2 linked regions of the Elephas maximus indicus genome follow. The protein of the gene in region 2 interacts with the protein of the main gene of each other region in a pairwise test. Links are inferred from orthologs where the notes say so. Each region holds a gene or a part of one and is shown on either strand. Other genes may lie near its edges.

Region 1 (6,968 bases), on a different chromosome or scaffold from region 2:
CAGAAGCGTTAACATTGCCTGGGAACTTGTTAGAAATGCAAATTCTCAGCAGGGGTTCGAGCTGTTTGGTTTAAAGCCCAGTCCAAAAGACAACAGCCCTTGCCACAGCATTTGAAACGTGGGACAAGGAAAAGATAGTCTAGCAAATAAAAAATATATAACTTCAGCTCTAGAAAGAACTAGAACAAGCTATGACGCTGCGCTGAAAAAAAACCTGTATTCTATTCTGGGTTCCAATCAGTGACTACATAATCTTAACTAACTTGCTTACTTTCTCTGGGGAGAAGCTTTTCAACTCTCTAGTCATCTCATACTGTGAGGAGAGATATAAAAAAAAAAGAATCTACATAGAGAACTTTGAACATCTTAAAGAAAAGAGCCTAAAAGAATGGCTATTATAACCAAAAAAATCAAACTATTTTTCTTTAGCTTTATCATGCTTAAAACTCTAATTAAAGAAGCTGTAGCCTATTCAGAATGGACAGATATGATGAGGTAAGACTTACAGATAAGTAGGCTGAAACAGGAAATAAGGCTTTAATGAGGGAATGGCCAGAGTCCAGCCCTTCCCTTTCATTCCTCTGTACTGGAACTTGGCTTTCTCTCTAAAGGCTATTGCTTTCTTCCCACAGAGTTGCTCCAAGAACACGCTAGGAAATGCATGTTTGCATTTTAGGCTTCCACCAACTATAAAGTTGTATTTTCGAAAACAAATACATATAAGCAAACACTTCTGTGCATTACTGTTCCCAGAGGGGATTTCTTAGAGCCCAGATCCAGGAGGATGGACTCCTGGCCTCTGATACTTACAGTGAGGTTCTAGCAAGACCAGCAGTCTGATCTCAGTCTATACTGGACCTGGCTCTTTTCCACCTGCAAATGCAGTTAAGGAACTAAGTCCAACAGAAGTTCTGTTTGGGGTGGTTTGGAACCAGTCAATTCAGTCCCAGTACTTTCTGTACAGGGACATGGGACAAATAGCGTATAGTGTATACACAGACACTTCCCAGGGTTTGTATAAACACCTATAAAAGGTACTCTGATTTTCAGCTTTGTGCAGGACTAGTCTAGCCATTTTTATAGGTGTAAATTCAATTTTTTTGATGATGAAGAAGCAAGATAGGGCCCTGAGTTTCCTGCCTATCTGTGAAACTACACTCACTGGCCGTGAAAGAACAAAATCTAAAGACAGCAGGTTAAGCAGCAGAGGAACTGGGGTTTGGCCTTCACATCACACCTTTTTTTCCCTCTGTGATGTCTATAATTTTTAGAACCATGTTGCCACGGTTTTGGAACACAGTCACAAAGCATAAAGACAAGTCTGAACGTTTTACTAATTCTTCCTGACAACTATTTGGCATTCTTAATGCCTTCTTCTCAGTTCACTGTTTTTAAGAAGCCCATTTTGGTTCCAAAAAGATCATTCAGAGGGCAGAGGATGACTAGGCTCCACAGGATATGAGACTTCTACTTAGAAGGCAGTATAGTAGGATGATTAAGTCTTGGCTTAGAACTCAGACCCAAAAACAAACTCACCGCTGTTGAGTTGATTCCAACTACAGGACAGAGTAGAACTGCCCATAGGGTTTCCAAGGCTGTAAATTTTTACAGAAGCAGGCTGCCACATCTTGCTCCTGCGCAGCGGCTGGTGAGTTTGAGCTGCTGACCTTTCAGTTAGCAGTCAAGCGTTTTAACCACTGCATCACCAGGACTCCTTGACCTTGGACCACTACAGTGTAAATCCTGGCTTCATCACTTATTATTAGCATGACCTTAGGAAAGTTACTCAACTTCTCTAAGCCTTGCTTTCATGATCTTTATTTAAAATAATAAGACCTACCTCATGGAGTTGTTATGAGGGTCAAATAAGACATTCATGTAAAAAGCTGGGTATGTAGCACTTACTAAGTGTTAGCTCTCATTAATTACCTTGCCTGGTTTGCAAGATGGTTCTCTATCACTTCCTGCCCACACAGTTTAATTTGAGTGCCGAGTCTCCCAAGCAGGATATGGATCTTAATTTATATCTAGGGCACAGACTAAAATATCATTGGCCACAAACACAAATCCCAACCCCAACTCACACTGGCAGCCAATCTGATGAGTGGCATTGAGCAGACGGACACAGGGAGCTGTTTTATTTAAGGGGATGTAGATCTTCCTCTCCACTGAATTTCCCCTGCACAAACCTGAGAAAACAGAAAGTGTTAGAAGAAATTGTGAGACGTTGATATTAGCCTCTGCTATGTCATGAGTTTACTGCATTAAGTCACTCAATATCACATTTTCTAAAATGGGAAGAATATCCATTCCTCTCACTTTTTGGGCACATTATTAAAGCAGATACATGCTCTACAAAGCACTCAACTAGTGCTTCAGAGGGTTATTACAATTTCCACACAGAGAAGCTGATTCTGAAGCTAAAAGAGAGAAAACTTGATTTGTCAAAGAAAAGGCACATTTGGCCTCAGCTGTGTCAGCTTCTGGCTGCGTGGTTGATCATATGTCTACTTTTCTGTCCTGTATGTATATTAATAATTAGTTAATAATGGGGTACAGATTACAAAAACAAAAACTTTCTGAGATACTTTTCCAAGAGCCTGAATAGACCTTGTTGTTGGTGTTCGGCGCTTTCGAGTTGGCTGACTCATGGTGACCTTATGTGCAGTGGAACAAAAGAACAAAACCATGCCTGGTCCTGAGCCATCTCCGTGATCTTTGACATGTTTGAGCACACTGTTGAGGCTGTTGTGTCGATCCATCTCATTGAGGGTTCCCCTTGCTCTCACTGACTCTCTACCAAACATGTTGCCCTTTACTGGCAATTGGTCTTTCCTGATGACATGTCGAAAACAAGATGAAGTCTTGCTATCTACGAATCTAAGGAGCATTTTGGCTGCATTTCTTCCAAGGCTGATTTGTTCGTTCCTCTGGCAGGCCATGGTATATTCAACAGGAACAGAGTTGGGAGACACTTTATGCCACACACACACCTGTCAGAGTTAATCAACTCTTCACCAACTACACCAAAAGCGCCAATTGGTGGTTTGTGTGTGCCCAGAGTGGGGGGCAGCTAGAATTTCTCATTTGGGATCTTTAAACACAATACGAATTTGGAGGAAGGCACAGTCATGGTTACATACAGGCATATTTGCATTTTAAGGCTCCAACAAGTAGAAAATCATGTATCAAAAAATAAATACAAGTAAGCAAACACTTTTGCACACCACAAATTCATAAAGTTCCTTGGATCATTACTTCAGGGTCTAAACAGTTAAGAATACCCATATCAGAAGTCTCACTTTACAGATGAAAGAAACTGCGGCAAGGCAGAGGGCCAGGGGTTTACAGTGAAACCAACAGAGGAAGAAACGAGGAATCTACCTTCCTAAGCCCTGAACCCACAAAACGAGCCTGGTTTCATCTTAAAAAGTCAAAACGTTCTGGGAAGGAAGCTGAACACCGACACCTGTCTCTTTTGATTGTGGATAGGGTGGCTGGGGCCGTGCGAAAAAATCAGCATTCGGACAAACTGGGAGATAGCCGGGCAGGAAGTCCAGGAAGAGGCCTGGAAGTAGGAAGAGAGCGGCACAATGTGCCGAAGGGAGAAGGGCCTTCAGGTCCAGGAAAAGGGGGGAACTTCTGTCGCGGGAACGAAAGAGAAAAAGGATTTAGAGGGCGGGGGGACAGAGGGGCAGTGGACCAGAAAGGGAGACGGCGGCGCTAGCTGCTGGGCCGATCCGGAGGGTTCTTACAGAGCGAAGCTCACGGGCATGGGAGGCCTCACCTGCCAATAGGACGCAGAAAGACAGAAGGTGAAGAAGACCCTGACTTCCCCGTACAACCTCACAGCCGCCCGCAGCCGTAGCCATCTTGCCTCTCAGTTGAGCGGAAGCCTCGGTTCCCCTTCAGTCTGGTAGCGGCCTCTCTAGGCCACCACTGGCGTCATCTCTGTGGCCCAGAGCTCCAGAGACCGGAAGTTCGTGTCTTGAGGCGCTTCCGGTGGCTACTGCGGAGGGACGCTGACGTGGAGGCAACCAAAGGGCAGCAGGGAGTGGCGGGCCTCGGAGTAGGACCTCGGAACCGGAGGTCGGGAGGATGCTAACCAAATTCGAGACCAAGAGCGCGCGGGTCAAAGGTATTGGAGAAGAAAAGGGGGAGCACGGAGGCTGGATGTCACGGGCGGCGCTGTCACGGGGGAAGAAAGGGAGTAGACATGCTGGCTGAGTTTGGCCCATCGACGGACCCTGAGGAGGACGGGAGGGAGGGAAGTTAGGCCTGGAGGGCCGTTCTCCAGTCTCCTCTTTGGTGTGTCCTCGGGCCCTGATTTACCTGCAGAGTGGTTTCCAGCCCCGCAATCCCTTAGGTCAGTTCCCTGTTCTTTCCCCTCTCATGCTCCTGGGGGCTGTGGCCGCGACTTTCTTCTGCCGGTAAGGTCTTGTAACCTCTTGTCTTTTTGCTGATCGTGTTGTGGGGAGTGGTCTTGGGGATTGAGTCTCCATCTGTCACAGGCACCCGAGTCAGTAGCTTTGTTGGAGACGAGCACTGGCTACCTCATTTAAGGAAGCCTTGGCTGCGTCATATCACCACCCAGTGCTTCCACTAGGGTCTGTTTCTTACCGGAAAACAGGACTTTGAGGTCTGTAGCTCTCAGTAAAATCTGAGCTTTGCAGGATTGTCAGGTAAAATACCGGACGTTCAGTTAAATTTGAATTGAGATTAACAACGAATAATTTTTTAGTATCGTTCTTTGTTTATCTGGACTTCAAATTTGACTGGGCATTTCCTGTATTTTTATTTGCTAAATATGGCAACCCTAGAGCTTGAGTGTGTAGAAGAGAGGGGTGGAGTTGGGGGCAAATGGCTGAAATCGCAGCAGTAGTCTTTTAGAGTGTTTTAATGGCAAAGGCAAGGAAGTCAGGTCTGCTGAGAACTGGAAAAGAAATTAAAGCAGCAGTATTTGATAAGATGCAGCATAGCAAAGTGGTTTGGAACTTGGTATTTGGAATGAGATGAACTTGCTTCAGTATCCCGAAATAGTCACTAACAAGCTGTATGTGACCTTGGGCGACGTACTTAACATCTCTAAATTTGTTTCCTCATCTGTAAAATGTGAATAGTTACTATTCTCTTATAGAGAGAGAATGCGCCCCAGAGGTGCAGTGGTTAAAGCCCTCAGCTGCTAACTGAAAAGTCAGTGGTTCAAACTCACCAGCCACTCGTTCTGTGGGAGAAAGATGTGGCATGTAAAGATTTACAGCCTTGGAAACCCTATAGGGCAGTTCTGCTCTGTCCTGTAGGATCACTGTGAGTTGGAATCGAATCCCGGGGAACGGGTTGATGGCATGAGTCAAAACTGGCTCCGTGGCACCAGATAACGAGGTATATCATAAAGGTAAAAAGTGAGCAACCCAATGGAAAAATAGAATGAAAAATTTAGAATTAGGAATGTAATTGTTTAATAAACAAATGAAAATATGCCACACCTCACTAATTAAAGAAATGCAAAAAAACAAAAACATTTTTTTGTCTTAGGTTAACAAAACAGCAAATAACGGATAACATCTTATGTTGTCCAAAGTCCGGTGAAACAGGTACCTTTATAAACTTGGTGAGAGTCTATACTGATCCACCCTTTTTGCATTTAAACAGTGTTTCTTGCATGTGGTTGCCGTGAGTTGGTTCAGATTCAGTGCAGCTAACAACAACCATCATCAGAATTTTGAATGCACATACCCTATTCTTGAGCAATCAATTCCATTTCCAGGTCTTTAGCCTAAAACAGTGATAGTGCAGATAGGCTACGTTATATGTGAAAGTGTCTTTGTTGTTATTAGTTGTCATGTAGTCCATTCAGACTCATGGCGAGTATCTTCATTACAAAAACCAAACCTGTTGCAGTGGGGTTGATCCCAACTTAGAGTGACTCTCTAGGACAAAGTAGAACTGCTCCATAGGGTTTCCAAGGCTGTAATCTTTACGGAAGCAGACTACCACATCTTTCTCCTACAGAGTGGCCGGTGGGTTTGAAGTGCTGACCTTTTGCTTAACAGCCGAGCACTTAACCACTGAGGCCACAGGCTCCTCGTATCTTCATTAGGTCCTGTTTTATTGTTGTCGTTTTTTATTAGGTCCTGTTTTTTGATAGCCAAAAAGTGGAGGAAAAAACTTAAATGCCCATCAGTAAAATAATTTAAAAATGTGATGCATTTGTACAGTACACTTAAAGAGTGAGATTATGTTTATGTGTACTTAAACAGAATGAGATCTATGATATATAGCCACATGAGAAAAGAATTTTGCAGAAAATTATAATGTGATCCCCATTTTCATACAATGAATAAGATCTACGTTTGTATGTAACTACATTAAAAATCTGAAAAGGAATACTCCAAACTGTTAATAGTAGTTACCTTTGGGGACTTCCACTTCTAGTCATGGTAGAGTGACAGGGGCCAGATTTATCTTCCAACCTTAAATATCTACACAACCGGACAAAATGTATGAAACAAAGCTTTTCAAACACTGGACAACACGCAGTGCAGGAGAGTGATCCTTGAGAGAAGGGAGATAAAGGAGGTGAGTCCTATGATTGTTTTAGCTTGCTGCCTGAAGAGAATTTCCAGGCCACAGTAGCAGGAAGGAGGAAGAGCCCTGTGGTCTCGCTGAGTTGAACACACAAGAGTTTAGTGTTCAGGGAAGCCAAGGTGGCTAGAATTTGCTGGACAAAGTACCAGTGGAGAGAGTTGCACAGAGATGACTGGAGATCTGCATGGGGTCCCCTTGGGTCTTTGACTGAGGACTCCTTGCATGTGCATGTGAGGAAACTATTCAGGGCCTGGGCAAGAACCACTGGAAAGTAAAAAGCAGAACAGTCTGTGGAGCTCACACAGGGCTTGGAATAGTTTGTTTCTATGAGCCAGAGTAGAAAGGTCCTGATATACAGGGCACCATGCAGAGGCGTCAGA
Region 2 (7,848 bases):
TACTGATGAAGATCAAAGACCACAGGCTTTAGTATGGATTATATCTCAACATAAAGAAAACAAAAATCCTCACAACTGGACCAATAAACAACGCTATGATAAATGGAGAAAAAATTGAAGTCAAGGATTTCATTTTACTTGGATCCACAATCAATGCCCATGGAAGCAACAGTCAAGAAATCAAATGACATATTGCACTGGGCAAATCTCCTGCAAAAGATCTCTTTAAAGTGTTAAAAAGCAAAGATGTCACTTTAAGGACTAAGATGCACCCTGCCCCCAAACCAGGGTGTTTTCAAAAGTCTCATACACATGTGAAAACTGGACAATGAATAAAGAAGACCAAAGAACTGACACCTTTGAAATATGGTGCTGGTGAAGAATACTGAATATACTGTGGACTGCCAAAAGAACGAACAAATCTGTCTTGGAAGAAGTACAGCCAGAATGCTCTTTAGAAACAAGGATGGCAAGATTTCGTCTTATACACTTTGGACATGTGGGACCTGTCCCTGGAGAAGGACATCATGCTTAGTAGGGGGTCAGTAAAAAGAGAAAGATCCTCAATGAGATGGATTGACACAGCGGCTCCATCAATGGACTCAAGCATAACAAAGATGGTGAGGATGGCACAGGATAGGGCCATGTTTCATTCTGTTGTACACAGGGTGGCTATGAGTTGGAACCAACTAGACAGCACCTAAAAACAAGGCTCTTGAAAATCTATTTCCCAACTACCTTTTTTTTCTTAATTACCTTTTAAGACTTATCTCCCACAATGCCCTTGAATGAACTTTACACTAATCAAATTAACTACTCAATATTCCTGTTCCCTGAATATGCTGGGCCATTCATTTCTTCTACAACTTTATTAACTGTATTACTTCTACAAACAAAATCTGTCACAAAGTACCTGAGGTGCAAGGACAGACATCTCTACAGGGTATGGAGGGAAGTAGCCTATTGTATTTGGGGAGAGTGCTGAGCAGTTCGTTAGATAAGGATCCTGGTCTTGCTTATACTGTACCCTCGACTCTAAATGTCTCCCTCCATTTCCATCTTCCCAAAGCTGCACGCATTTAGGACTCAGCTTAATAAGACCTTTCTGATGACCTGAGCCAGAAGTATCCTTTCTTTTCCTATAGGATTTCAAGCATTCACAGTACATTTGTGTACATGTCTCTTGCTTACTACAGGAGGTACTCCTTGAGGACAGGGTCACTTCTTATATGTGTCTTTATCTCCATAAAAAAAAAAAAATTTTTTTTTTTTAATCTCCATAGCACCACATATATTTGGATATGAGGGGTTGACGATAGGTAGTATAACTCAAGTCTAGAAAGTCATGCTGCCTGTACTCAAACTCTAGTTCCACAACTCATTTTACATGTGCAAGAGTGGGCAAGTTTACTTAACCTCTCTCAGGTTCAACATATATATAACAAAAAGAGTTCTATTGTCTCCTGCTTAGTGTTATGTGAGTTAAATTCAAAGTCAAGCCCTTAGAACAGTGGCTAGTTTATAGTAAGCACTCAATATAACATTATAGCTCTATCTCACAACTGGCAAGTTTTACTGAAATACACAGCACATAATAAATGCTCTCTGGTAAATGAATGAATTTATACTTTTCAACTTATACAAAAAATTATAAATTCGTTAAATGAAAGGAGGTGATAATTCATTACAGAAATACATTTTCTTAATTAAAAGATTGCAAAAAAAAAAAAAAAAGGAATTAGGCAGATCCAAGGTCCTTTTCTGAAAATGTTACAGCAAGCATAGCAGAGCTCAAACCAGAGGCTGTAGTGATTTGAGTTCGTATAATTAAGAGATCTGAGGTCTCATTCAGGGCCTCTTAACCTGGAGATACAAGAAAGGCCACAGAGGAGGCTGGGGATGGGAAGTAGGTCTGTGTGTTGCTGTCGTTATGTGCCATCAAGTGAATTCCGCCCCTATATGACAGGGTTGGACTCGACAGCAATGGGTTTTTTTTTTTTTTTTTTTTTTTAATGACAGGGTAGAACTGCCCCATAGGGTTTCCTAGAGCGTGTACCCAATGCAATTCTATGTAAAGCTGTGTATGTTCTTCCATGCACCTTTCTGGGAGTACCCATCACTTTTATCAGTTTCTCCAAGAGATTAATGATCCATAAAAGATGACGAGAACTCCCGTTTTAGTACCAATTCCGCCGCAATTAGCTGTGCAAACTTACGGGATTTTTGTTTAATGCAAGATGAGGGACTTGGATTAATTAATCCTTAAGGTCTTCAGGCTTAAAATCATTGATCTTATGCTTTCTAACAAGTACAAAGACAGGAAAATGTTTAAATATAAAACACTGACTCTTACATTTTTCTGAAAAGACATTTGTCTTCCGGTATTTTAGGGCATTTTCTAGGGTGAGGGTGATAAAAAGAAAGTGTAGTTGTGACTGCCATTCTTACCAGCCACTATATTTGCAAATGCAGAAAAGCACACTAGCCAGTTTTATGAACTCCCCTCCCCAACTCTTTTCCCACCAGAAATTTAAGAGCTGGGATCCTAAAGCGCTTAAAATTCCCCTTTTGACTCCACATAACATTTTACTTTTTTTAGCTTCTCCGCTAAGTTAGCAGTCATCGTTTTAAGGGCAAAATGAAATAACTTTACCACACCTTCTTACGCAGTTCAACATTTTCTGCCTCTTAGAGTCCCTGGACTACGGACCTCACTGCAGAGCGAAGGGGCTCTGACAAGCACCAGGGAAGTCAAAGATCCCTCACTTACAGGCAGTGCCTCGAGAAACCACCTTGGATTCCTGGGCCCCACAGCCTTCTCAAACTTCTCAGGGCTCACGCCTGATCGAGACCTGGCAAGGCCGCACCAGGAGCCCAGGCCGCTGCTTACTGCGGGCCCCAGCCACGGAGTCCCAGGAGCCAGCTATACCCGGCGGGGCCCCGCTTCCAGTTGCGGGGCCTGGACCTACCATGGCTCGGTCCGTCCAGGTCCGAAGGCCCTCGCTTGCTACCGCCGACTCAGGCTCAGAAAGAACCACCGACCTGAGGACCCGCAGGCTGACTGACGTGGAACTTCCGGGAGGCGATTCTCGCGATAGTAGAAGGTGACGGCCCAAGCGCCTGCGCAAACTCGGCGCAGGTCCGTCGCTTTCCCAAGCCCCTCCCCTGTTTCTTAGGCAACGAGCCATTGTCAAAACTGTAGCGGTCCGACCTGGCGTCATTTCAGAGACGTGGCGTTGGCTCCACCGGGAGGGTAGTGTCCTGGGGCGGCTGAACAAGGCCTAGAACCGGAAAAATGAGAGATTAGAATCGGAAAACTGAGAGAGAAAAAGGATGAGAAAAGCGAAGTGCTGAATCTCCGCTGGTCGCTAACAGCAGGAGAAGCTTCCCCTATAGTAGAGTGGTGTCATTAAGAAGAGGAAAGGGAGAGAGAGGAGGCGAAGCATAGCTCCAAAACCAATGTACTCCTGGCGGACAAGAGGAAGAGACCGAGAGCGTTCTCTCCAGGCCATGGGCCTGGCACTGGTTGAGGCTGAGAAAATATGAGCCGTACTCCAGACTGAGCATCAGGCCTCCGAGGGCGGAGGGAGGCGAAAGAGTCTTCAGTTCAGTAGCTCACTAGGAGTTTGGAACGCTAAGTCATGTATGATCACCGTTTATTGAGTATCGGTTGTGTTTTTCATTTATTCATCAAATATTTGAGTATTGGGCTGTGTGCCAAACATACTTTCCTCTCAAATCCTCACATCAAACCCGAATTGTATCCGTCTTGCTGATGAGGAAACAGGTTCAAAGAAGTGTCCTGGCCGAAGCCATAGGTAGTAAGTGTTGAGTGAGCAAGTAAACTGAGGCACTTGACTGAAGTAAAATGGCTGCTTTAGAGTTTGGAGCCCTACTCCATCTTGCCTTTCTTTTAATATATACAAATTATTTCAGGGGCGTTATCAAGACCCTTTCTGAAACAATGTCTCAAGAAGAAGACTTTGTTGCTGACTCTTATCTAGGTCTCCTAGGTAACTGCTGACAAGAAAAATTTCACTTGAGCAAGCTGTTTCTAAGAGAAATGTGCTGTAACTTTACCCCTCCTAGCCCAGCTTCCAGTAACCTGCCTTATATTAATCTAAGTTAGTAATGTCCTGAGACAGAACCCCTAAAGTGTTGTATTCTTTACCTGGCTTCTTCCCTTACAGTGTTGTATTGCAAAATCATTTACTTTACTGGGCCCCATCCCCCGCCCCCCCCCCCCCCCCAGTACTGCAGCTTTGCATTCGAATCCTCCTTTTGCTTGGAGGTTATATGTAAACCCTGTTGCATCTGCATAGTATGGTTAAGAATGTTGCTGACATAACTTGTATGAACTCCTTACTTGTAAACCCCTTTAAAAGTAGGTTGCTTACTAGTCCTTGGGGAGCAGTCTTGGCAGCAGTAGCTCCAACTGCTCCACTTCCCTGTACAAGGAAATATAAAGGTGCCTTTCTTGTTCTCCCACCTTGGTCTCTCATTTATTGGTAAATATGAATCATGCCAAGTAAGAACCTGGGGTTTCTACCCAGTAACATTTCTAGCGAGCCAGCCAGGAGCCATCTGCTTGGTTCCCAGGGTGGACTGGAAAACAGAACAGCCCAAATGTCTGGTGCCACTAGGTGATTTCTAGAGACCTTGGAGCAGCTCTGAAAGCTGATCCCCCCACCTGGGACCGTAAGCATGGCTTTGAGAGAGACATGAAACACACCTGGGTTGTTTGGTAAGTGCCTAGGTAAGGCCTTAGAAGAGTCTCAAGAGGCAGGAGAAATTGACTGCTGGGGGCATAAAAGGCTCACATACCTGTTAAATTGCTGTACCGGATTAGGTTGTATAAGTGTGTGTATCTAGAAAATGGAGAACGTTCAAGGGATCCCAAAACTCGGCCCACCAAGGTGCATCCCTAAGAACTGGGAACAGAGACTCGGACAGACATGACTCTGGCAGCATGCTTGTCCTTTTCCTACTCTTGCCTTTTTAAATATATGCTCAATAAAACCTTTCTTTTTGCTTTACTAAACCTTGTGGTGTTTTCACCCTGCAAGAGTTAGTTGCTGCGGGGATTCTAAATCCAGGAATCCAGTCGACCTCAAGGAGACCTGGACTGCAGAGCAGAAGCTGGCAAAGAGAGAGGTCCTGCCTTCTGGACCCAAGCATTCACACTTCACATCACTTTGACATCAACAGGGTGAGTGCTCTTGGAAAATGAGCCTTTGCTTATTCTTTTTGTTCTTTTTCTCATATTTTCTTAAGTTTTGTTCAGTATATTTGTTTGAAAAACTGGTTGTTTAAGGAGAGTCTTCCTTAGATTTTTGCTTGATTGTTTGTTTAAGAGTGATATCTAGTAACTCTTGGTGAACTACAGTTTAGGTCCAGATTCAGGTGTTTGAAACATCAAAGAGGTAATTCTATTTTCAAAAGAGCTCTGAACCACTATAAGCCAAAAAATTTGGGCACAGGTAAAAGCCGTTGAGGTGATTGTTGGTACTCATCATGAGTGTTAAAGACTCCCCTGACAGGATAAGGTGGTTGAGAGACAGGCTAGAGCACTAGGCTACCTGCCACCCACAAGCAAACACACAACAAAGGTACACATTGGTCTAAGTGAAACACTGTCCAAACCCTGTGGTGTTCCTCATTAGGTTTCTTTTTATGGCTCAGAGAAAACCTGGAAAATAGTGCTTTTGTTTTGCCAGATTTGCAGGGAGAAGTGGTAGCTCCATACCTGTTTTATGATAGAGTTTCTCAGTAAAGAATCACAATAATATTCCTGATCTGATGCTCTGGCATGTTAATGTTTTATCTAAAACCTGTTATTTCTGTTGAATTGAGTCAATCTTACCAAAAACTGCTATATACACTTTAAGAAACCTTGTTTTATGTGGTATTGTTTGGAGAGTTTATGTGGTCTTTCTGTCTCCTTTTTTTCTGAAAGCTTGCTTCTGATCTAGAGCATTGTGTCTAAGTTTTTGTCTTGTATCAGGTTGGAGGCTATGGCTGAGAATTGCTGTTTTTTTGTAAGGCTGTCTTAGAACCTCAGTTCTTTCCTCATCGAGAAAAACTGTGTCTTGTGTTTGTCTTATAATTTATATTTTTAGTACCTATATTGAAAAACTTTAGGTTTAAGTCAATCATAAAAACAAATCCTTTCTAAATAACTTAAGCTAGGCATCATATGAAATGTGTTTTATTTAAAGAAAAAGGATAATTTTGTCTTAAAGTAAAACTAACAGTTCCAGAGTATGAAAAAGGAGGGAAGTCTAGAAAAAAAAATTCCTAAAGGGCTTTGGTATTTACTGGGTACGTAGAAGGCTGTGATAAAACAAAACTACTTTCCAAGAGAATAATAAAAGGGAAAGAAATTAGTTATCCTTTGCCTTTCAAAATGCCTAGATCAATTTAAACATATGTAAATGAATTAGGATGACCCCCTCTCAGCCTCCAGTCTCACTAGCCAAGAATTGACGGATTCATTTACAAAATTGCTAAAAAGTTTTGGTATTTACTGGGTACATAGCCTTTCAAAATGCCTCAATCAATTTAAACATATATAAATGAACCAAATGGCCTAATTTTGTCTTCTACCATGAGTCAAAAAATAGAGAGGGTAGGACAACATCAGGGTTCCCCAGCCTCCAGTCTCCAAAGTCATGTAGAAGTCAGAATGAGACACACTTGAAATGGCCTGGGATATAACCTAGCCAGACATTTAAGGTTATATCCGCATCAGTAAATTGGTCAGTTGATCAGAGACTTCTGAAGCCAGTTGATAAAATCTTTAAGGGCAAACATTAGATTGGGAAAATATGGGAAATAGTAAAAGTTGAATGAAAACTTAGAATGTTTAAACAGACTTTCTTTCAAGAACAGATGTGTTTTATGGTATAAAAAAATACAGGCTTAAAATAATTTCTAAGGCCTTTTAGGTAATTTATTGATGTTAAATTGAGTTAATAGATATTTGTTGTAATTTAAGCTTTTTATGCCACAAGAGGAAGGATATATGTGTATATTTGGATCGGCTGATGAGTGAGTTCATTGTTGCCATTTAAAGGGATGCACTATAAAAGGTATGCAACAAAGACAACATTTAAGAGGTTTATTAAAAAGAAATTGGTATGGTCAAAAGATTTATCTGTCTGACTAAAGTCTCATGGTTTGATTTATGATATTTTTAGGCGCTTTAACATTAAATAAAATATAAAACAAAGTATTGGGTTTCTAGCTATTAAATAACAAAATTTTCTTTGATTTCTGAGTTAAAGGGTTAGTTTATTCTTTCTCTGATCTGCTTCAAAAGCAGAAGGTTGGCCTCTCATTAGATTAAGATTCCTGAGCTGAAAACTAAGCCACGTGGCTTTTGGGGGGGAGGGGGGAAAGCAGCCTACTTTAAGATCTTTAGTTAAATAACTTAAGTATTATTTCACGGTGACCTATAATAAACTCCTGACAACCCTGAAACTTCATGGAAAGTCGCAAAAATTTTTTATGACAATGTCATTTCTGGAACCTGAAGTGTCAAATGAAGAGATAAAGAACTCAGCCAATCACCGAATAGAATAAGAAACTGACAGAGGACAGAGAGCGAGCAGAGATACCTGCAGATGGCCCCATCAGCTAACGCAGCACTGACCTGCCAGCTTGGACATCTGTCAGGGATTGGGAGAAATGGAGCATGCGAAAGCAGCTTTGAGGATCTCCCAGCCGGAGACAGGACACTCAGCAACCAGCGATACCTGCTTTTCCAACCCCCATTGTGTCCCCACTCTCTACCACCGAGCTTCTTGGCTGGCTGCGGTGGCTTGGCCAGCCAGGAAGGGCAGCGCC

Evidence for each region.
Region 1: the proteins of COPB2 (region 2) and COPA interact in a two-hybrid assay, tested with the Homo sapiens proteins (2 studies listed by BioGRID, with this or other methods). The link is inferred for Elephas maximus indicus from reciprocal best matches to the Homo sapiens genes COPB2 and COPA.

What each region holds. Positions count from the first base shown.
Region 1 is NC_064821.1:199,026,559-199,033,526, reverse strand, and holds the start of COPA (coatomer subunit alpha), read left to right. Parts: upstream 1-3,968; 5' UTR 3,969-4,098; coding exon 4,099-4,138; intron 4,139-6,968. Other genes in the region: NCSTN (nicastrin), read right to left, coding at 2,085-2,189, 3,788-3,872. UniProt on the Homo sapiens protein: The coatomer is a cytosolic protein complex that binds to dilysine motifs and reversibly associates with Golgi non-clathrin-coated vesicles, which further mediate biosynthetic protein transport from the ER, via the Golgi up to the trans Golgi network.
Region 2 is NC_064844.1:37,620,004-37,627,851, reverse strand, and holds the start of COPB2 (coatomer subunit beta'), read right to left. Parts: upstream 3,089-7,848; 5' UTR 2,973-3,088; coding exon 2,970-2,972; intron 1-2,969. UniProt on the Homo sapiens protein: The coatomer is a cytosolic protein complex that binds to dilysine motifs and reversibly associates with Golgi non-clathrin-coated vesicles, which further mediate biosynthetic protein transport from the ER, via the Golgi up to the trans Golgi network.